Linked DNA regions of Rattus norvegicus. The protein of the gene in region 4 purifies or fractionates together with the protein of the main gene of each other region. This does not show direct contact. Links are inferred from orthologs where the notes say so. Each region holds a gene or a part of one and is shown on either strand. Other genes may lie near its edges.

The links.
Region 1: the proteins of Arrdc3 (region 4) and Adrb2 purify together in Homo sapiens (affinity purification with western blotting; 6 studies listed by BioGRID and IntAct, with this or other methods). This does not show direct contact. The link is inferred for Rattus norvegicus from reciprocal best matches to the Homo sapiens genes ARRDC3 and ADRB2.
Region 2: the proteins of Arrdc3 (region 4) and Itch purify together in Homo sapiens (co-immunoprecipitation; 5 studies listed by BioGRID and IntAct, counting the BioPlex papers as one, with this or other methods). This does not show direct contact. The link is inferred for Rattus norvegicus from reciprocal best matches to the Homo sapiens genes ARRDC3 and ITCH.
Region 3: the proteins of Arrdc3 (region 4) and Wwp1 purify together in Homo sapiens (affinity purification with mass spectrometry; 4 studies listed by BioGRID and IntAct, counting the BioPlex papers as one, with this or other methods). This does not show direct contact. The link is inferred for Rattus norvegicus from reciprocal best matches to the Homo sapiens genes ARRDC3 and WWP1.

The regions. Positions count from the first base shown.
Region 1 is NC_086036.1:57,911,742-57,916,749, forward strand, and holds Adrb2 (beta-2 adrenergic receptor), read right to left. Parts: upstream 3,062-5,008; 5' UTR 2,863-3,061; coding exon 1,606-2,862; 3' UTR 1,019-1,605; downstream 1-1,018. UniProt on the Homo sapiens protein: Beta-adrenergic receptors mediate the catecholamine-induced activation of adenylate cyclase through the action of G proteins. The beta-2-adrenergic receptor binds epinephrine with an approximately 30-fold greater affinity than it does norepinephrine.
Region 2 is NC_086021.1:164,104,121-164,109,355, reverse strand, and holds the start of Itch (E3 ubiquitin-protein ligase Itchy homolog), read right to left. Parts: upstream 3,561-5,235; 5' UTR 3,484-3,560; exon of another isoform or gene 2,108-3,483; intron 1-2,107. UniProt on the Homo sapiens protein: Acts as an Acts as an E3 ubiquitin-protein ligase which accepts ubiquitin from an E2 ubiquitin-conjugating enzyme in the form of a thioester and then directly transfers the ubiquitin to targeted substrates.
Region 3 is NC_086023.1:37,979,352-37,984,337, reverse strand, and holds the start of Wwp1 (NEDD4-like E3 ubiquitin-protein ligase WWP1), read left to right. Parts: upstream 1-1,594; 5' UTR 1,595-1,733; intron 1,734-4,986. UniProt on the Homo sapiens protein: E3 ubiquitin-protein ligase which accepts ubiquitin from an E2 ubiquitin-conjugating enzyme in the form of a thioester and then directly transfers the ubiquitin to targeted substrates.
Region 4 is NC_086020.1:12,871,209-12,876,372, reverse strand, and holds the start of Arrdc3 (arrestin domain-containing protein 3), read right to left. Parts: upstream 3,172-5,164; 5' UTR 2,936-3,171; coding exon 2,656-2,935; exon of another isoform or gene 1,691-2,655; intron 1,480-1,690; exon of another isoform or gene 1,343-1,479; intron 455-1,342; exon of another isoform or gene 108-454; coding exon of another isoform or gene 95-107; intron 1-94. UniProt on the Homo sapiens protein: Adapter protein that plays a role in regulating cell-surface expression of adrenergic receptors and probably also other G protein-coupled receptors.

The DNA.
Region 1 (5,008 bases), on a different chromosome or scaffold from region 4:
ACACAAGTTTAGCAGGCAGTGTGATGAAGAAGAAAGAGGAAGGATTGAGGGCTGAGGGGCTGTCAGAACTGAGTGAACTGGATGGGGGCGCTTTAGTAGGAGTAAGAAATAGAGCCTTTGTAGTGAACAGCATAAAACAGCTGATTTAGTTTTCCAAAGTCTACACCAGGCTTTCTGCTAAGGAGTATTTCACCCTTAGGGGTAACAGGTCATGGCTGAGGTTACTTTTGGCTATTATTTGTAAGCTCGAGGGGTGCTACTGGAATTTACTGGGTACTGGGCTGCTACTAAACTTCATATAACACGTGGGAATGCCAGACACGGAAAAGCCTAGTTTACACAGAAGTGCAGAGAATCAGGGGACAGAAAACATGAGACAGTAGAAGGGAGCAAGGAGAGGCTGAACCTGTGTTCAAGGCATGATGCATTCACCAGAGATGTTTTAAAGCTCTGCTCTCTCTCTCTCTCTCTCTCTCTCTCTCTCTCTCTCTCTCTCTCTATTCAACCAAGGCCTCTGACTTCCCGTGGAATTCCTAGATGCTTGGATAGCTTTTACACAGAACATCTTCCTCATCCTGAACACACCAAACCCTCCCGCAGTACAGAGGGCACTGCTGTAAGAGACGGCAGTGGTATAAATACACACAGTTATTAATTAAGTAAGTGGGGCTGGAAGGTGGGTGTCAGGAGCATGTGGGGCAAAACATATGCCCACAACTCTGTCTCTGTGAGTCAGGGTTTCCGAGGTGACAGCACAGACTGGCAACTGTAGGACACACTGGGTTGTACTGAGAACGGGTGGGACTGATTTAGGACACAAGTGAAGTTAGGAAAGACACCGGTTCGCATCTAGAGATCCAAAGACACAGGAAGGGCTAGGCAATCGGTGCATGCCATTCTGGTACCCTTACACATTAAGCCACTCAGCAGTTATGACACATAGTTACCTGTGGTTTCCAGTGGGAGAGACAAGGACACTCCAGAGTCAAGAGGTTTTGGAGAAACAGGTGCAATGAAGTCATGGTCAAACAATTTATTTACTGTAAACTTTAGACTTTGCTCAGAAAAACAACTGATGTTGTCCCTCAAATCCCTGCCTACAACACTCCATTTGAGCGAATAAGTGGAGTGAGAGAGAGTCCACATTCACAGCAGAAAGGTCCAAGACACAGGATATTTCAAGTCCAAGGGTACAGGAAGAAAACTCTCTCCTTTACATATGAATTTCCAGCAGCAATATATATATATATTATCCTTAATACTTGACCAGTGAGGTAGATACATGGAAACACCATCCAAACAGACAGACCAACAACACTTCAGACAGAAACTTTTAAGTTCCATGCAAAGAGGAACTGAACTGTACAAGGAAAACATTAAGCACTGAAATACAGTCTCTCTCTCTCTCTTTCTCTCTCTCTCTCTCTCTCTCTCTCCCTCTCTCTCTCACTTGCAGCTTAAAAAAATAAAATAAAAAAGGCAGAAGGATGTGCCCCTTCTGCAAAATCTCTATACAATTTTATTCTAAAGTTATTACACTCAAGTAAAATAGTCTGGTTAGTGTCCTGTCAGGGAGGGGCCGTCTTAAAGAGTAGAAAGCCTACACTACAGTGGCGAGTCGTTTGTGTTACAGTTCCTCCCTTGAGAGTCAATGCTAAGGCTAGGCACAGTACCTTGACAGTTCACAAAGCCTTCCATGCCAGGGGCTTCCTCACAAAGCAGTTCATTTTCTTTCTCCTGCCCCAGCTGATATGCGCTCTGCTCCCCTGTGTAGTCTGTCCTACCGTTGCTGTTGCTAGAGTAGCCGTTCCCATAGGTTTTCGAAGAAGACCGGCGAAGGCACAGAAGCTCCTGGAAGGCAATCCTGAAATCTGGACTCCGACAGTAGATAAGAGGATTGAAGGCAGAGTTGACATAGCCCAACCAGTTAAGGAGGATGTAAACTTCCTTAGGGATGAGGTTGGCCCGGATGACGTGGACAATATTGACAATGAAGAAGGGCAGCCAGCAGAGGGTGAAGGTGCCCATGATGATGCCTAAAGTCTTGAGGGCTTTGTGCTCTTTCAAGCAGAACTTGGAGGACCTTCGGAGTCCGTGCCCGCTCCTCCCATCCTGCTCCACCTGGCTGAGGTTTTGGGCATGAAATCTGCCCTCGGATTTGTCTATCTTCTGCAGCTGCCTTTTGGCCACCTGGAAGACCCTGGAATAGACAAAGACCATGACCACCAGGGGCACGTAGAAAGATACGATAGAGGAAGCGATAGCATAGGCCTGGTTCGTGAAGAAGTCACAGCAAGTCTCCTTGGCATAACAGTCGATGGCTTGCTTGTGGGTGGCACGGTACCAGTGCATCTGGATAGGCAAGAAGGAGGTAAGGCCCGACACAATCCACACCATTAGGATGACCACTCGGGCCTTATTCTTGGTCAGCAGGCTCTGGTACTTGAAGGGCGATGTGATAGCAACATAGCGATCCACTGCAATCACGCACAGGGTCTCGATGCTGGCTGTGACGCACAACACATCAATGGAAGTCCAGAACTCGCACCAGAAATTGCCAAAATTCCACATTTTCATAAGGATATGACTGGCCCCAAAAGGCACCACCGCTAGGCCCATGACTAGATCAGCACACGCCAAGGAGGTTATGAAGTAGTTGGTGACGGTTTGTAGTCGCTCGAACTTGGCAATGGCTGTGATGACCAGCACGTTGCCAAACACGATGGCCAGGACGATAACCGACATGAGGATGGCCATGCCCACCACCCACGCTTCGTCCCGTTCCTGAGTGATGTCGTGGCCTGGCGCTCGGCTTCCATTGGGTGCCAGCAAGAAGTCGCTGTCATTCCCGTGTGGCTCCATGGCCGGCAGGTGAGCGCACCGGCTTTCAGTGCCCAGACGCTCTCAGCGGGTGCACCTCCGATGGGGCGCAGCCGTCCGGGGGCGGACTCCTGGAAGCTTCATTCAGAGACCGTAGGTGGCTGTGCTGGGGGCGCGTCCTGCACACTGAGCTCGTGGGTGCTCCGGGCTCGCGATGCCTGCCAGCTGCAGCCTGAACGCGGGAGAAGCAGCCTTGCAGTGCACCCTGCCCGTTATGTGCACTAGACTTTAGGGGACTTGCCCAGTGACGTGCAGCAACTTTGAGCCAATGGCACCGTCGCATGCCCGGAGGGGCGAGGCACTAAGGGCCAACCCTCCTTGCCTAGCCCGCCTCCTCCTGGGGTTGGCCCGGGCGGGGCCCAAGCTGCTCCCCGGAGGCCAGGCCACCACTCCCTTCCAGCTACCCTAGCTGGGGCTCCCGAGAGAGAAATCTGGGACTGCTGTGCGACCCGCCAACCACCCAGGCGCTGTCTGGAAGTGCTACCTGTTCATGTAGGTCACCTGTGCGGGTTGGAAGGTCTCTGGACGCCAGTGGCAGTGGGTGCATTTTCTTTTAGGAACAGAAAGAACAAGCTCACCCGGACACGCACACACAGGCACAAACGCACCCTGCTGACTGGGACGTGCTCAGACTTATGCCGAACCACAGCCACAGACACCGAGACACACCCGCGCCCGCTCATGCTGGAGACGACAGCTGTCTCCTGGTCCAACACAGAGAGGTGGCTATAAACAAACTCAGGAACACCCAGAAGCAAGCTGAAAGAAACACACACAAGGGCTCCGGTGGAGACATGGAGTGCGGATCACTTAGACACCGGTGTTCACATCCAGGTACTACCCTCCTCTAGCACTCATAAATGACACCCCATTCGCAGACACCCAGTGTATTCCCTTTCAGTTATTTGGCAAGAACACAGGAGGTGACTCCAACAGCTACAGAGTTTCTAAGCACACTTGGTGAAAAATATTTTTTTGGCGTCCTCCCTCCTTGAGAACATGCAGGCAACCGCACCAAGGCAGTAACTTCGCCCTTTGCATTTCTTTAGGAATTGATGTGTACGCACTTGGGGAGAGTTGGGGTGGGGGTGTTATTCTTAATTCTTGGGAGTGTGGCATCATTTTTCTTGTTATATGGTGGATATCCAGGGATGCATTGAAAACGAAAATGCAAGAATTTTCTTTTTGAAAATAAAAAAAAATAAACTACATTACTTATGTTATGCGCATGGGAGTCTTATCTCTGTGTTTGTCTGTGCACCACGTTTGTGCATGTTTTGGAGGTCAGGAGAAAGAGAGCATCAGATTCCCTAGGACTGAATATACAGATAGTATCAACACACAAGCTGCCTTTGTGAGTGCTGGCAATCGAACCCTGGTCCTCTGGAAGTCAGCCAATGCTCTTAACCACTGAGCTGTCTCTCCAGTCTGCATGATCTTCTTTTCAAACAATTTCTTAAGTAACTCCTTTGTAATTATAAAAGTGTTAACTGTATTAATTGTATTTGTTGGCTGGATAATTAGCTAATCTTTTAGGCTATGTCATGTGAACCTGCCACCACTGGGCCTTTTCTGTCTTTAAAAAACCCCCACAATTTCATATAATTCATTATATTAAAAATGTGTTTTCTGAAGTCCATTTTAAAACTACAGAAAGAAAATGATAGTTTTTCCTTCCCATTTAAAAAAAACATCAGACCAAGACTAAGATTTCATGAAACACCAACCTTTGCAGCTGGCAAGTGACTTGACTGTTGCGGAAAAAAATTAATTTTCAAGGTTTGATTTCACGTGTATTATATTTGATAGACCAAAAGTCTTTCACATGGAATAAGCAAACATACTTTGTAGATTACATAATAACATAACAATGGCTGACATTTAGGGGACATTCCGTTTGTGCATTATTGCATTTAATCCTTCCCACAATCCCACGGGGGTATTTTTAGCTCCAATGGGGCTCAAAGAGGCAAATCACTTGCCCATGGACACTGGCCAGGCAGCACCAGAATCTGAATCGGAACCTAAATCTGTCTGATTCTAAGGTCCATTTCCTTGCCACCTTTCTAAGGTACTGTGTTATTCCATGTAGACGAGGGGAGGGCACAGAAGAAGCTACAACTGGGAT
Region 2 (5,235 bases), on a different chromosome or scaffold from region 4:
TATCACATCAATCATTACATACTTCCCCAGAGAACTAACACAATCGGAATCAACTTTTGGGTGTGGGGCAGGGTCCTCACATTGAAGCAGACTGGCCTGGAGTTCACTGTGTAGTCCAGGCTGTCAATCCTTCTGACTCAGATTCCTGAGTGCTGGGATTAAAGGCATGAGCCACGATGACCAGAATCCTCCCTAATAGTACTTACAGAAGCTATTTCCAATCAAAGCTGGCCTACAACCTAAAACACATTTGCCACTTTAATATAATCTCTTCCAAATGTAAAGCTCAAGTACCAAGTTTCTGTGACTAGAAAACAACTGACCAAACATGGATCGATGTGCTGATAATAATCAATTATAGTCCAAAACTCACATTCTCTTCCAAATTGCATCTCACCTGATTCTAATTTCTCAAAGACACTAATGAACATATTCTAAAAGCAAAAGAAGCCCTCAATCAGACTAGCCCTAAAACAATCCCCATCCAAAACCATAGCAACATTATTACATCAGCAAAATGAGACACTAACCTCTTAAGGAAGCCCCTCCGAGGCCAGCCTGTCACCTACCAGGGAAACTTCTGCCACAGTTACTCGGGCCCTTTCACTTTTATCATTAGAGCCATCTTTTTAAAATAAACACCAACTTACACCACTTCCTTTCCCCAAAGCCTTGATCTCTCACAATATAAAATTCAAGAGAGTGAGCACCATACACAGACCTTTTCTAGTGCAGGCTCCTTTTACCTTTCTGGTCCTGAGTCCCATAACCCTCTCCTCCACTGCTTTCTGTGCACTGAACCCCTTTTCTCCCACATCCCTCCTAAACCACACACGCCTCAACGTCTTGAGGCGTTTCCTTCGGCACTACCTTCCCTTTCTTCACCTGTCACATTCCTACTCATCCTCCAGAACAGCGGCTCTCACCCTTCCTGACGCTGTGACCCTTTAATACAGTGCTCCATGTAGTGGGGACCCCAACCATAAAATTATTTTTGCTGTTTCTGCATGATTATAATTTTGCTACTGTTATGAATACAATGTAAATATTTTTAGAGCTAGACATTTGCCAAAGGGGTCAAAACCCTCGATTTGAGAACCACTACTCTAGAACTTCAGGTCCATAGACAAAATCTTTTTTGAGCCAGGGCCCACTATGTAGCTCTGATGGGCTGGAACTCACTATGTTGCCTCTCATTGACAGGTCTTGCCACTCCCCTCAACAATTCCCACACTGACCACTTCCACTCTCTCTCCTATCTCAAAGCTTTCTGTGCTGTCCTTGTTATAACCATACTATTATTTGCCTCAGTGTTCCCAAAACCATCCCCACTACCTACAGCACATTTGTAATAAAGTGAGAGAAGCCAATGCAGATCCACTAATCAATCTCAAAAGTGAGACCTGAGAACGTCTACTTTTTAAAAAGGGTCTCGAGCAGCCCAGGCCGGCCTCACCTCCCAATGCTGCTGAGAGTTAAATAAACTCTGGCTCTTGTCTATGGTAAACAAGTGCTCTACCAACTGGGCTGCAAACTCTACTTTCAACGATCTCCTGGTCCAGCAAAATAGTTCAACAGAAAGCCACTTGCTACACAAGTCCGATGACCTGAGTTTGAACCCTGGAACCCACAGGAAAGAGGAAACACTCTTGAAGGTTATCTTCAGACTTCCAACTCAAGTCATGGTGTGCGCACGCACACATACACACACAAATAAACAAATCTAAAAATTTCTCCTGAGCCCATTCTGATGGTATGTACCTATAATCCCAGCACAAGGGAGGGAGAGGCAAGAAATCAGAATGTTTGATGCCAGTCTAAGTTTACTACAGTGTGTTCTAGTCCAGTCAGAGATACATAGCAAATCATGTCTCAAAACAAAAACAAAAAACCCAAAAGCTGGGGTTGGGGATTTAGCTCAGCGGTAGAGCGCTTGCCTATCGACCGCAAGGCCCTGGGTTCGGTCCCCAGCTCTGAAAAAAAGAAAAAAAAACAAAAACAAAACAAAACAAAAAAAAAAAAACCCAAAAGCTCTTGTAACTGTGCTAATGGACAAATTCTGGGACCATGGATCAGTCTGTCTCTTAAGTAAAGCTAGTTTTTGTTTTGTTTTTTTTTTTTTTTTTTTTAAAGAATGTAGAACTTACTCTAGAATACAATAAAAAGGTATTAGGCACTTGCTTTTGGTTTCATAGTATATCCTTGTTGACATCTATTCTAAAGTCTGAATTCCTGAACTCATGCACACAAAGTATATTCACTGTTCAAAAGAGAATTTCAATCTTTCCTAAACGTGCAAAATTAAGCCTTAAGTAAACCTGTGATACACAAGGTTGAATTTCAAATGTGTCCCCTAAAAGACTTTATTTCAGATGAGAACGGAGCCCTTTGCCAATCCTGGGAGTGAACAGACACGGTCTTTACCTACTTTCATAAGATAAGGAGACAGGAGAAACACCCACTTAAGAGAACAATGATGGGGGGCTAGATTGTGTTCTGTCAACTTTGAAGAGGAAGAAAACCTCACTCTTCTCCCCCAATGCTCCCTTTAGAGAGAGTTCACTGCAGCTCTTAAAGAGCAGAAAACTGAACAGGATTAGTATTCTAACACAGTCAAGAAAACAAGTGACTGGGGAACCGTGAATTTTGGGTACTTTGCAAGTTCACCTGGTCACATCTCTAATTGGGGCCCAATGTCTACTTCGGGTGCACTGACCCTTTATATATATTTTTTCTCTTTTGAAGTTGCAGCCAGGAACTAAGTCTCAAAACGCGAGTCTTCTATTTAAAAGTCCTGCCCTCATCAGGCTTCCACCTTTCAAATACGCTCACCTCTACTTTTTTTTTTCCCAAAGAAAAGTACGCTCTCAGTAGGAAGGACTGTGACAGCTCCACGTCTGCAAAAGTCGGCGGCGCCGGCCTGGGCCGGGACCACCACGAGTGGGGACAATGGAGGGAGGAGGGAAGTACAAGACAGAAGGGGAGGCAGTCACTGGGGAAGGTCCTCCGCGAGTGGGAGCTTGGAAAAGTCTCGGGGGAGCCTGCCAAGTGGCAGGTGGGCCCGGCCGCCGCCCCTCAAAGGGCCACGTCGCGCGGGCGGGCCGCTGCCACCGGGCCCCGCGCGTAGGCCGAGCCGCAGGAGAGGAGCCCCCGGGCGCGGCAGCGGGGCGCGGGGCTGGACCCTACCCACGTCCGCCGCGGCTCGGCTCTCTCCCAACTTGGGGCTTGCGGGTCCACAGGCTCCGGGCGCCTAGGCCAAGCACTAGCAGTTCAGCTCGACCTGCTGACCCACCCGCCACCCGGCTCCGGCCACCAGCCCGCTCTCCGGGCGCCCCCCACGGACACCGGCTGTGGGAAGAGCAGCCCCGGCTTTAGGTCTCGACTCGAACGCAACACTCCTCTACCCTTCGCATTCTCCATGCCTTTTCATCCAAGCTCCCTCCAAGCCACAGAAATGACCCCAGTCTGCCTGCGGGTGTTTACCGGGACTCGGGGCGGCGACGACTCCTCAGTCCCTCCGCTAAGATGGCAGCCGGTCCCGAGCCCCGACTACAGCGACTAGAGCTAGTTCACACTTAGTGCGCAGGCGCGTCCTCTTAGACGCAGTCCGGACTACAAGCCCCAACAGGCTTTGCGCGCCAGCCTGCTAAATCATTTTTCCTCACCTCCAGGTGAAGTGAATTTAGCCTTGCTCTCTACATATCCACGGCTTTTTCTTTTCTTCCTTCTTTTTCTTCTTTCCTTTCTCCTTTCCTTTCTTTCTCCCTTCCTTGTTGCTTCCTTTTAACCCCTTCTTCCCTGCCAGAACCTCAAAAAACTGTTACCAAACGCTAGGGTGTCTCAGAATCATTTGACCAGCTTTTAAAAACAGACTGCTGATCTCCACCACCAGTTTCTGACTCAGTAGATCTGGCATGGAGTGCGGGGTGTTGGGGGGTGTTTTACAATTTGCATTTTTAACAAGTTCTCTATTGATACTCCTGACAGCAGGAATCACAATTTAAGAAGCACTGTGCGGGTTCTATCCTTCTGGAGTTACACTGACTGGGTTCAAATTCTCCTTTCTCCACCTTTTGACAGGGCGTTCTTAGGAGGGTGACAGTTTGACGGCGCCAACGCGGCCTGAATTCTAAAAACTGGAAAGCATACTTCCTAACGTTTACAACAAAACTGAGAAAAATGTCTGTTGTTACCTTTTCAGATGCTTACATTAAACCGCGTGCAGGAAAATCGCATCTAACCCAGGCAAATCGCATCTAAGCCTATCCCCAATCTCCTTCATGGAGGTGTTTGTGAGAATTAATAGGCTGTGCAGTAGTAGTAATAGAGGTACTACTTAAGCACTTAAATAATTAGCAGACTTTGCTATTAATGTTTATCCTGTCTCCTCGTAAGGAAACCATCTAGAAAGTCACTTACACTTTTTGAAATACCTTTGAAACCACCATATTATGAATTACATGCCGAGGGGTTGGGGATTTGGCTCAGTGGTAGAGCGCTTGCCTAGCAAGCGCAAGGCCCTGGGTTCGGTCCCCAGCTCCGAAAAAAAAAAAAAAAAAAAGAAAAAAGAAAAAAGAAAATGAATTACATGCCGAGAGAGTTTATTAAACAATAACGATTCTGAGTTGGAAAGATGGTCCAGTGGGTAAACACTCTTGCCGTGCAAGCACAAGGATGCTTGAATCTCGGCATTCATGTAAAAGCTGGCACAGACCCCTTTCCCCCAGCACTGGCGGGCAAACCTATGAGCTCTCTAGTCGACCCGCTTAGACTACACAGTAAGCTTCAGGTTCAGTTAGAAGACAGAGACAAATGGGTTCACGGTTAGCCAGGCCTAGATATCTTGAGATTTCTGGACCAACTAATGTTACATGATGAAACCCTAAGTTTGGGTTTGGTGTGTGGGGGCGGGGTGTTGCTTTTTTAAGTATTTAAAAGTTCTGCACTTCCAACCAATGTTTGCGCACTAGGGATTATGCAGTAAGGGCTCGAGATGTAACTCACTAGTAGAATACCTGCTTAGCATTGATAAGACCCAAGATTGTATCCCCAGTATTGAGAGTGGTGTATTCTAGGAGAATCTGTGTGTGTGTGTGGGGGGGGGTATTGTTTGTTTTGTTTTTTTTTTTTTAACTAGCATCCCAGATGACTCCTGTCACCAAGCATACTATAAGATATTTTAACAAAATACTATAAATGTATTTTATTACTTTGTACAGAAGACAACTGACTGTA
Region 3 (4,986 bases), on a different chromosome or scaffold from region 4:
GTTGACATTGCCTGGGAAGGATTATCTGGATTATGGTAACTGAGGTGGGAAGGCAAATCTGAATCGTGGGCAGGGTGGTTCCATGGGCAGAGGATCCTGGACTATATGCAACAAAATTGCGTGAGCATAACTCTCTCTCTACTTCCTGAGGTCTGGTTTATTGTGACCAGTTGCTTCAAGCTCCAGTCACCAGATATAAGCCAGCATAAACTCCATTTCCTTTAAGTTGTTTTGGTCCAGTAATTTACCACAGCAAGAGGAAAAGAACGAAGGCACACAAAATTGTCATGTACGTTTCGAGAGGTTTCTTTTCTTTTCCTTTCTTTCTTTCTTTCTTTCTTTCTTTCTTTCTTTCTTTCTTTCTTTCTTTCTTTTTTGCATCATGTGCTATGCCCCTAACTTATATGTAAAGTTAGGGACTAGTACCTAACGTGCCAGAGTGGAAGTGACTGTACATTTGTTCATTCAAATGGTATTTACTGAATCCTACAAATATTCATGGAGTCTCAGTGTTTGCTCTTCTTGGTATACTACTCTTTCAAAGGTTACAACAACAGCAGAGTGAATCAGAAAGGTGGTTTAAGGTTAACAAGCAATTTAGAACAGAAGTGTTGTTACATGGTGATTTTGCTGAGAACTTGTTACCTATGGAGCAGTGAAGTTAAAGGTGTTACAGGCAACAATGGAGTGGTCATCCTTGAAGAGAAACCAGGATTTCTGAACTTTTCTAACAAGAGAACTAGTCGGCTATGGGGTGGGTTTAAATAATTTGTGGTGCCTAGGTGAGGTGTTTAGGTAACTGTACTATTTGTGCTGGAAGAACTTTGTTCTTTCTCTGAAGTAAAACAGCGGGCCATATGGTGAGTAATGTGGTCATTACATTGCAGTGTGACCTTTCTCGTAACGTAAAACTACCAACAGCTCTTTTCTAAACTAGTTGACTCATTGTGTCATGGAGTCAAGAGACGCTACCTTTCAGAATTACTGTGACCATTAACTGTAGGAAAAAGGATATATGCACTTGCTCAATCAGTAGTAGCTTTGTTATTTGGTCACTGTGGTGCCAAGACAATTTCATTACCGACACAATGGTCTCCTGTGACCACTACTAGTGGACCCTAAATATTAAAGCGAGGTCAAGGAGCTTTCCTTCGCAGCCTACTTTTGCTGCGACGTGCTGAACTAAAGCACAGACGTGCCCGGAGGTTCTTCCCTGGGGTTATGCAGGAAGCTCTGCAGATGCCTGAACAGACCAGGTAGCTGCTGTTCAGAAGTCACCACCCGCTTCCCGGCGACTGCCCCGCCCCCTTTCCGGCCCTGGCCCCGCCCCCTCCCTCCTATTGGTTGGCGTGCCTCTCCGCCAGACCGTCGCGAAGACCCGGAGGAGTGGAGTCGCCCCGAGGCGAGCCGGGCGCGCGCTCGCTGCGCATGCTCGAGAGCAGCTGGATTCCCGGTCTGGACCGTAGGCTCAGAGCGGCTCCGGCGGGGAGGCGCGCCTGTGCGCGGCACGGGCGTCGCGAGTACGCTGCGCGCTCCCGAGGAAGGGAGGTGTAGGCCGGGGTGGGTGGGGGGAGGGCCGGGTGTCGGCGCGCTTGGCGTGCGGGATCGGAGTGGCTGCGGGCGGCCTGGGCTGCCCGGCCGACGCCTGCTGCGAGATGGCGATCTTGGGCGCGGAGGGCTGAGGAGGCGCCGCCGCGGTGGCCGCGGGCCCCGGGAGCCGCAGCTTCGCGCGGGTAAGCACAGCGGGGCTCTGGAGGGCGGCCGGGCCGGAGTTCGCTGGGGTGGGGTCGCCGGGCTTGCCCCGAGCTGGCCCTGGCACCGGCCTGTGCCGGTGACACCGGAGCCCGGCGAAGTGTCTGGGTGACTGCAGTGCTCAGGCTCCTGGCCGGCAGCTTGCTAGCGTTCCAGCTTCCCTGCCTCAGAACTGCTGCCCTGACTTTCACCCGGATCCCACCGGCGCGAGCCCGGACTCCAGCCTCAGCTTGTCCTTTTCTGACATGTTTTTAGCATTTAGCGTTTTTTCACTGACTCCGCACCTCCTCTCACCAACAGTCTCAATCTCCACCTTTGGTGACCTGGTAGGTTCAAGTGACCTTGCAAAATCTTCTAATCCTCGTCTCGTGATTTGGGCCCTTTTCCTTTAAGTCTTCTTTTAAAATTTAGTATTGTTAGGGTTGGTACTTTGCCGGTCGCCTTTATAGTCTTTAAATGATCAATTTTGTGGTTTAGGATTGTGTGGCTCTCTCCTTTCTTTACTCATCGGTTTGGAGTTGAAGTTCCTTTGCTCGAAGCGATTCCTCTTCATTATTGCCAAAAAGGTGTATCTATTATGCTTTTGAAATATTTTACTTTCCCACCATGAAATAATTCACAAATGTCAGGTATTTTTCTGTTAAATTTTTATCTTTTTGTGTGCATAAAATTGAATTTCTACTCTTAAAGTAACGGGGAAAAAATAATGCCAGAGTTATCTTCCCACTTCCCATTTGGTATTTTTTTTTTCTTGTTGAAATACCCAGTTCACAGTTGTCTGTAGGTTTCTGCAAGAGTTTTTGCTTGTGTATAAATCCACTTGACATGTCTCACCAAGTCTGTGTGCAACTATTAGTAAAACTCTCCTTTTAAGAAAGACATTCTTTCATTTATCTGACTTCCTTGAGCCATAAGACTATATACTTAAACTGACTGAAAATTACCATTTTTAAATAACTAGTTAACCTTTCAATTTCGAAGATAATGGCCAAGTGTTGGAGCTGTTGAAATTGAGATGCTTGAAAAATGTGGCTTAGCTCTTTGAGACATAGATTATTAACATTTCCAAACAGTTCTTCACATAAAATGTTGAGCTGCTTTTAAGACACTGTGCTTTTGAAACCCCGGACATGGCTGATCAGGTCTCTTGCCTTCAAAGAGATGGTAATCTCTTAAATTGGCTGAAATTTCTGTTACATCCTTGCACAGTTATTAAGCATCAACTGCATGAGAGAATGAGGTATTTGGGGGTATATGTAGATCAAATGATTAGCAGCTTCTGTCTTTACAGATTATGGAGGAGGTCTGTGTGTTGGATTATATACAGATGCTCCTTTCATGTTCTGGGGAATAAATGGCAGAATCTCACTACGTAGCCTAATCTAGCCTTGAACTTGCCATCTTCCTGCCTCTGAGATCATAGGCCTATGCACCATGTCCAGAATACCTTTGTGTGTACGTTTCATAAATATAAGAATTCTCTCAAGTTGTGTTCAGAGAGGGTAGTTCTCAGATGGGTTAAGGAGTTTCTTGTTTCGAAGAAGCTGGATTGAAGGACGATAAACTATGACCTGAAGGATGGTGAGAAGTCAGCAGGGAAAGATCGTTCTAGTAGAAGGATCTAAGAGGGTTTGGACAGAGTCTGCAGGGTTTGTTCTTAGGATATAGGAGAAGAAAACTTGAAGTAAAAACCAAGACCAGTAACAAAGTTATTCTTCTTTTTTGTTTTTCTTTCCTTTGTTTTGCTTTGAAACAGATCTTGCTATATAGGTGTGACTGGCCTCCAACTTGCTTGCTGTGTGGACCAGGCTAGCCTGGAACTCAGAGGTCTATCTCTCTTTGCCTTCCCAACCCTGGAATTAAAGAATGTGTCACTACTGTTGGCACAAGAGTTATTGTTAAATTTAGATAAATTTCAGGTTACTAGGCAGTGTCAGGCGCACAGATGATTTTTGAGTTTAAGGAACAGTTTTACACCTTTGTTTAGAAAAATTAATCTAGTAGCATTGTGTAGTATGAATTGAGGTCAGAAGAAAATGGAAATTCATAAGTTACCTCAGGATTTCTGTCATTATAGACAGCAAGGGTCTGAACAAGTGGAAAGGACAGGAAAGTAGGATAGAATTTGGTAAGCAGGTTAAAGTTCAGATAATTGGCAAGATGGGTAAAGGTGCTTGCTGCCAAGCCTGGTGACCGAAGTTTGATCATAAACACCCCCGCCCCTTGGTAGGAAAGTAGTCTACTCTTCAAAGTAGACACAAGCACACCCTGTTCCCTCCACGAATTAATGCTCTGGCTGTCTTGGAACTCATTCTGTAGACCAGGCTGGCCTTGAACTTACCAAGATCCACCTGCCTCTGCCTTCTGAGTGCTGGGTTTAAGGTATACACCACTATGCCCAGCTGAAATAATTGTTTTTTAAAAAGTTAAAATAATGATTCGGATCCATGTCCATAGGGAAAGTAATGGTAGTGTAAAAGCATTATCCTTAGCAGGCCTGTATAATGCTCATAGACTTGGGTGACTACTAACCCTTGTTGAAACTAACAGGTCACGTGCACCCATGCTTTGTGGATGTGATTTTAGGGGAGTCCATGAATTACCTGAAGCTCCTGCCTGAAACCCATGGGCTGTCTATCGTGCTGGGGGCAGCTTTCAGAATTACTGGAAAGTTAATAACCCTGACTGTAGGTATACTGTGTAAGTAGCTGGAGACAGTAATCCACTGTATTGTGGCTCACACCCCACAGGTAATATTATTCTATTATATTGTCTTTAATTTGTTGTTGTATCATGGAACAAACTTGCCTGAGAGTTTAGTTCATGTGTCCCAAGGCTCCTTGCAAGTGGTCAGATAGAGCCTGGAGTTTGTGAACAGTGGTGGTTTTCTTTTTTCTGTGAAGAGAAGAGCATAACTGATTTGCTGCTGATCGGCTCTAGTTTGGTGTCTTTTAAGTAAAGAATTAGTGGTTCCGAGAGATTCCTCCCAGTTAAGGTTTTGTGGCTCTTGGCACATAGGTCTTCACTGGAACATCTGCACTCATCTTTCTTTCCTTTTGTGTGTTTGAAGAGTGGTGAAGCTGGGGGATGCTATGGGTAGGCAGAGAACAGATAGCAGTATCAGGTCAGACATGTTAATTATTGCTGTCTGTGTGACTCCTGATTGGGGATCTGGGAAAAGATTACAGAGGCTGTACAGTAGAAGAAGAAACCTGGAGGGCACTTTAGTCTTTT
Region 4 (5,164 bases):
ATGGGGTGGGGGCTGGCGCTTATCATTACACTTCGCCGAAGTACTGAAAATACATAAAAATATGACTTTCATCCCTAAATCATGGTGACCTGACCATATCTGCGCATTGCTTCCAGAGCCTCCTGGGGAGCCCCTGTACAGCGTCAGCCCTGAGGACCGGCCGGGGGAGCCATGGCCCGTCAATTCGCTCCCTCCAAGGCGCCCAAACTTCGCCTCTCTCCCTTTCTTCCTCGGCTCCCTTTTGTGCCAGCTCAGCAGTCTCATTGAGGAGTGCTGCGGCCGCCGCGCCGTGGTAAACAAGTGCCTGGCTGTCAATCAAGAACTAGACTAGAGCAGGAGAGGACCGGCCTAAACCGGCGCTGAGCAGATCCCAGCCGGCCCGCCCGCGCGCGGCCGCGCTCCGCGCGCCCCGCTATACATACGGCATACGTCGCGCGGCGCTCGCGCCCGAGCAGCCTAGAATGCTGGGCCGGAGGCGGAGCCACAGCAAGCCGAGCTTCCGCTTTCCACGCCCCAGCCGGTGACCGGTTCAATCTGGCTCAGGCCACCCTGACACCTTCGCTGTTACAGCGAGGGGGAACTGGGGCGGCGGCGCGGAGGCGGAGGCCCCGGGGAACAATGGGCGAGGCCCAGTTGGTGCCGGTGATGTCTCCCCTATCTGTCCTGTGTCATGTCCCCTCGGGTCACACAGGTACCAGCCCCGGGGGTACCCTGGCGCCCGCACCTCGATCAGCCTTTGGTGGGATTTTTAACCGAGCTTGAGCCCAGGGCAATGAAACCTGCGGCGGCTGCAGTGGGCGAGGGGCCTGGGACACCCGGAGAGGGGCGCGCCGAGGGGCGGAGGCGGCTGGCCGGGAGAGACCTTTACCGGCGCACGCCGGTTCCAAGCCTCGCCCCAGCCGGCGCGAGCCGGCTCGACTTCCCCCTCGCCCCCCCCCCCCCGTGCCCAGTCCAATCAACGCCTGGCATCGCCTTAGCAACAGGCTAACAAACGCAGCTCCGCCTATCGCTGGGCGCCCGGGGCGGGCGCTCAGCTACCAGGCTAGTTTGAGCGAGCTGCCAGTTTGAAGTCATTGAAACTATTCCAGCCTTAAGAGCCCGTCCACGCGTAGCCAGGCTTGCTGGGGCACCTCGCAGGGCGCAGGTAGTTATCTTAACTGTGAGATCGTGGTGCAACGGATCAAGTGTGTGTCCACAGAACTCGTTCTTTCCCCCCTACTACAAGTCTTAACTCTTCGAGGAAAAAGCCTTTGTCTCTTCTTATGTTTTTAAAGGGTGCGACGTCAAAGCAGGTTCAAAAGCAAATTCATGGATCTGCCCTTTTTAAAAAACAAATACGAGCGCTGTCATTAGGTACTGTATGGCCCATTCGTGTGGACGCTGCGGAAGGTGAACTAGGGAACCATTTCAGCATGTAGAACACCTCGGTGTAGCTGCGTAAACCCCAAGACTTGGCTTCACCTTTATATTTAAAAGACGGTACATTAATTCTGTGTAACTTAAAGCATCCTCCATTTCTCACTTGCGTTAAGTTCAATTAACGTCTCCCTAGGATGTATATTTTAGATACTTAAAAAAAAAAGCATGCCTCTATCTGAAAAATCGCCAGTATTTGCACTAAAATACTGCATTAGAAAGAAGAAACACAAATTACATAACCAGTTTTAACATTATATTCTTCTTGGACTAGGAATTAAGTCATCGCCACCACCTGACGCGTGTAACCAATCTGCTGAGAGCAGAACAAGCGCCCCTCCTCACCATCCCCCAGAACTGGTCCGAAACAGGATTGAACCGCTTCTAACAAAGGGTGGAAACTTAGAAAAACAAGCTTGGAGTCGCCTATATTTCCACATTGTAGCCACTTAAACAACAGATCGCAAATCTTAGGACCTCTTGTCCCTTTGACAATGCCTTAATCTTCATCTTGTACCCAAAAACCAAATCCGATGTGCCATATACTTTTCAATTCCATCTGTCTGCCATGGGTTTCATTGAATCCACGTTCCAAAGTTAGACATGATGCTCCGAGAAGAAAAGTACTGACCCGGAATGGCTTCTAAACTGACTTAATAGTTTGCATAATGATAGATATTATCCTTTAAAATAAATGGTGCTTGATGTACATTTTAAAAGGAATTGGGAGAAATGGGAAAACACGTGGGGGTGTTGATGCCATATGTCAAAATAAGCCAGGGAAACCCTTTATCAAAGAACAATAATCAAGTCTTTAAAGTCGTTTGCACGTTAATATCAAAAGCAGATACATCTAGCAACCTTCTTAAAATGTCACTACAGTTCTTTATTGGTGCTCCTTCCTGTATCTAAGATTGTAAAATAAAAGGAGAAATCCAACATTGGACTGCAGTCTTTGCAAATGAATTTGAAAATATCAGTAAAACGACGGAGTCACATTTGAACACGTTATAAGGTGCGTATGGCAGATATGAAGCCGGTTACAGATGAAGTTAAGTGCAGTTTGCACTCACTTTGCAGACGCCTGCATGGATTACAGCTTAACACGCTTGGACGTCAAGGAGAAACTACATCTTCTAAGTTTGCTACCTTCATCAAACTGCCGACTAGAACTGCATTAAAGGAGATTAAAGTTCTCATGCACAGAAGTAGAATGTAGTGACTAATATAAAAACTTACCTCTTTCGTGCCCAATTAAGATGTCTTTATGGTTGAAATATTCTACTTCTTCAGTGTAATTCTGTGTATAGGCAGTATTGGAGCCGGCGTTTCTTGATTCAGTCCAGCGTACTTTCGCATGTCCTCTTGCATGAATTTTAAGAGATTTTACTCTGATTTCCCCAGTAACTTCTAAATTTACCCTTCCTGAGACAGTGTCCCCGCTAGAATACACGGGGACATTACTGTCATTAAGACAGTCAAAGCTTATTGTCAAACTCTTTACCTTTCCCAGCACCATGATTATAACAAAATCTATAAAAATATAATAAGACCAAAAAAAGTCAAGATCGCATATAAGATGTGATCTTCACTTAACACTGATCGGTGTCTTTGCCGTGCAAAAGAAAAAAAAATCTTGCAGGCAGGATCAGTGATTGTCTACAAATAGTTCATTGAGATTTCTTAAAAAGTCAGGGCAGCAGAGAAGCCGCTGCTCCACGCTCCTGCTCGTCTCAGTGGTCTCCTTACAAAGACGGGCGGCTGGAGGCTGCCAGCTCACTTTAAGAGCAGCTTTGTGAAAAACAACCCCAGTGCGCAGGCGCAGGCCGCGACTGCAGCCAGCCTCCCTGCGCGTTCCCTCCCGCGAGGCGCGCGCCTCCCTCTCGTCGCGCGCTCCCGGTACAGTAGGTGTGGAGCCGGCGTCCCTGACTTCGGTGCATGGGCCGCAGCGATTGGCCGGCGGGCACTCCGCGCGGCTGCAGCGCCGGCCCCGCACGCGCTCCGCGAGCTAGGTAGAGGGGCCCGGCGGCGCCAGGCCAGGGTGTGCGCCCGTACCGCGGACCCGCAGGACGTGCGAGCCGTGGGGGAAGGGGAGAAACCGGTTGGGCAAGCCGCTGGTGGCCCCAGTCTAAGCTAATGAATTTCAAAAGAAAATGTAATAAAAAGCAGACAAATATTGTTCATACTAGAAAGCATTGTTGACTTGGATAGAAACAACAAAAGCAAGCAGGACTTTGTAGACAGGGTGGCAATGGACTAAGCCAAGGCCTTAGGAGCCAAAGAACAATGCTCCAGGCAGCTCTTGTCTTCAGCTGCCTTCCCAGACTCCTACAGCTTCAAACTCGACCAAGTTGTCTGTGTAGTGTGTAGGCCCGACCACTTCCTCGACGGGAGAAAAAGTCCTTTTTCAAGACACCACCTACTGCTCCATTGCAGAGAATGACGCGATTACAACTTCTGTATCCTCAGGAATAAGAATAGAGCTCACACCCCTAATTACCACCTCATAAGAGACAGTTTGAACATAGTCATTTAGCTGACACTGTTTACAACAGACTGAAAAGTCTTAGCTAGAAAAGCATATACGGTGGTTTTTGGTTTTTAAGTATGATTTGTTACATAAATGAGGCTTAATTTTTAAGCCTTACTTTTACTTCAACATGCTAATTGCCGTGCTACATCTTTAAATACAGGCACATTTCTCCTTTTTTCAATGCCTTGAGTAAAAAAATGCAGTTCTAAACATCACCAGGATTTAGAGGGTAATGGCATAGACTAAGATCATTAACAGTCAACATAACCTCATAACATGGCTATATTATGAAATCCTGTTTTATGCATAGCCAAAATCGGACGAGGTTGTCTATAGTTAAACATCAGATCCTTTTTGCATGGTAAATCCGGATAGGGCGAATCACAACAAACGAACTATTTTGCTGTTTTCTTTATTTTAAAAAAATCTACATTTTTATTTAATTACATTTTATTTGACTTGACATGTGAGCTAAAAAAATCTAGAATATAACTATGTCAAGAATAATTACTGGGCAAGCCGTTTGTCTGAAGAGTTTGGCTTGTTAAGCATAAAATTACACATTTGTGTATTTTAAGGCGGGGGGGGGGGGGGGGTAACTTTCTTCTCTCGGTTGACACCTGGTGGATAATGTAAGTAAAGTGCCTAACCCTTGGGCTAAGGGTTGGTAACAAATACTACTGGTGTTTTTCTCCCCCTAGTGGAACAGCCATGACTTTGCTAGAATGTCAAATTTTGTTCAGTATAAGGTGAATAATGCATTAGACAATCATATAAAATTGAGCAGGGAGTGGAGTTAAAATTTTTAAAATTTTTATGTATGTGTGTATGTATGTATGTATGTATGTATGTATGTATGTATGTATGTATGTATGTATATCTGTGTGAAAGCATGCATGGTATGGTCTGGTACCTGTTCAGCCAAAAGATAAGTGGCCTCAGATTCCCTGTTACTGGAGCTATAGGTAGTTGTGAACCTGGCTATGTGGGTGCTGTGAACTGAACTCAGATCCTCCAGAAGAGCAGAAAATACTCCTAACAGTTTTGTCAGTTCTCCAGGTCCCTGTACAAAAATTCTTTACCAAACTTACATTTAAAATTATTGAAGGCTGCTGAATGACTGCTGTGGTTTTGGTAAAATTTCTCCAATATATATACATATATATATGTATATATATATCACATTTTTAAATATTAAGAATCACTATTTAAGTG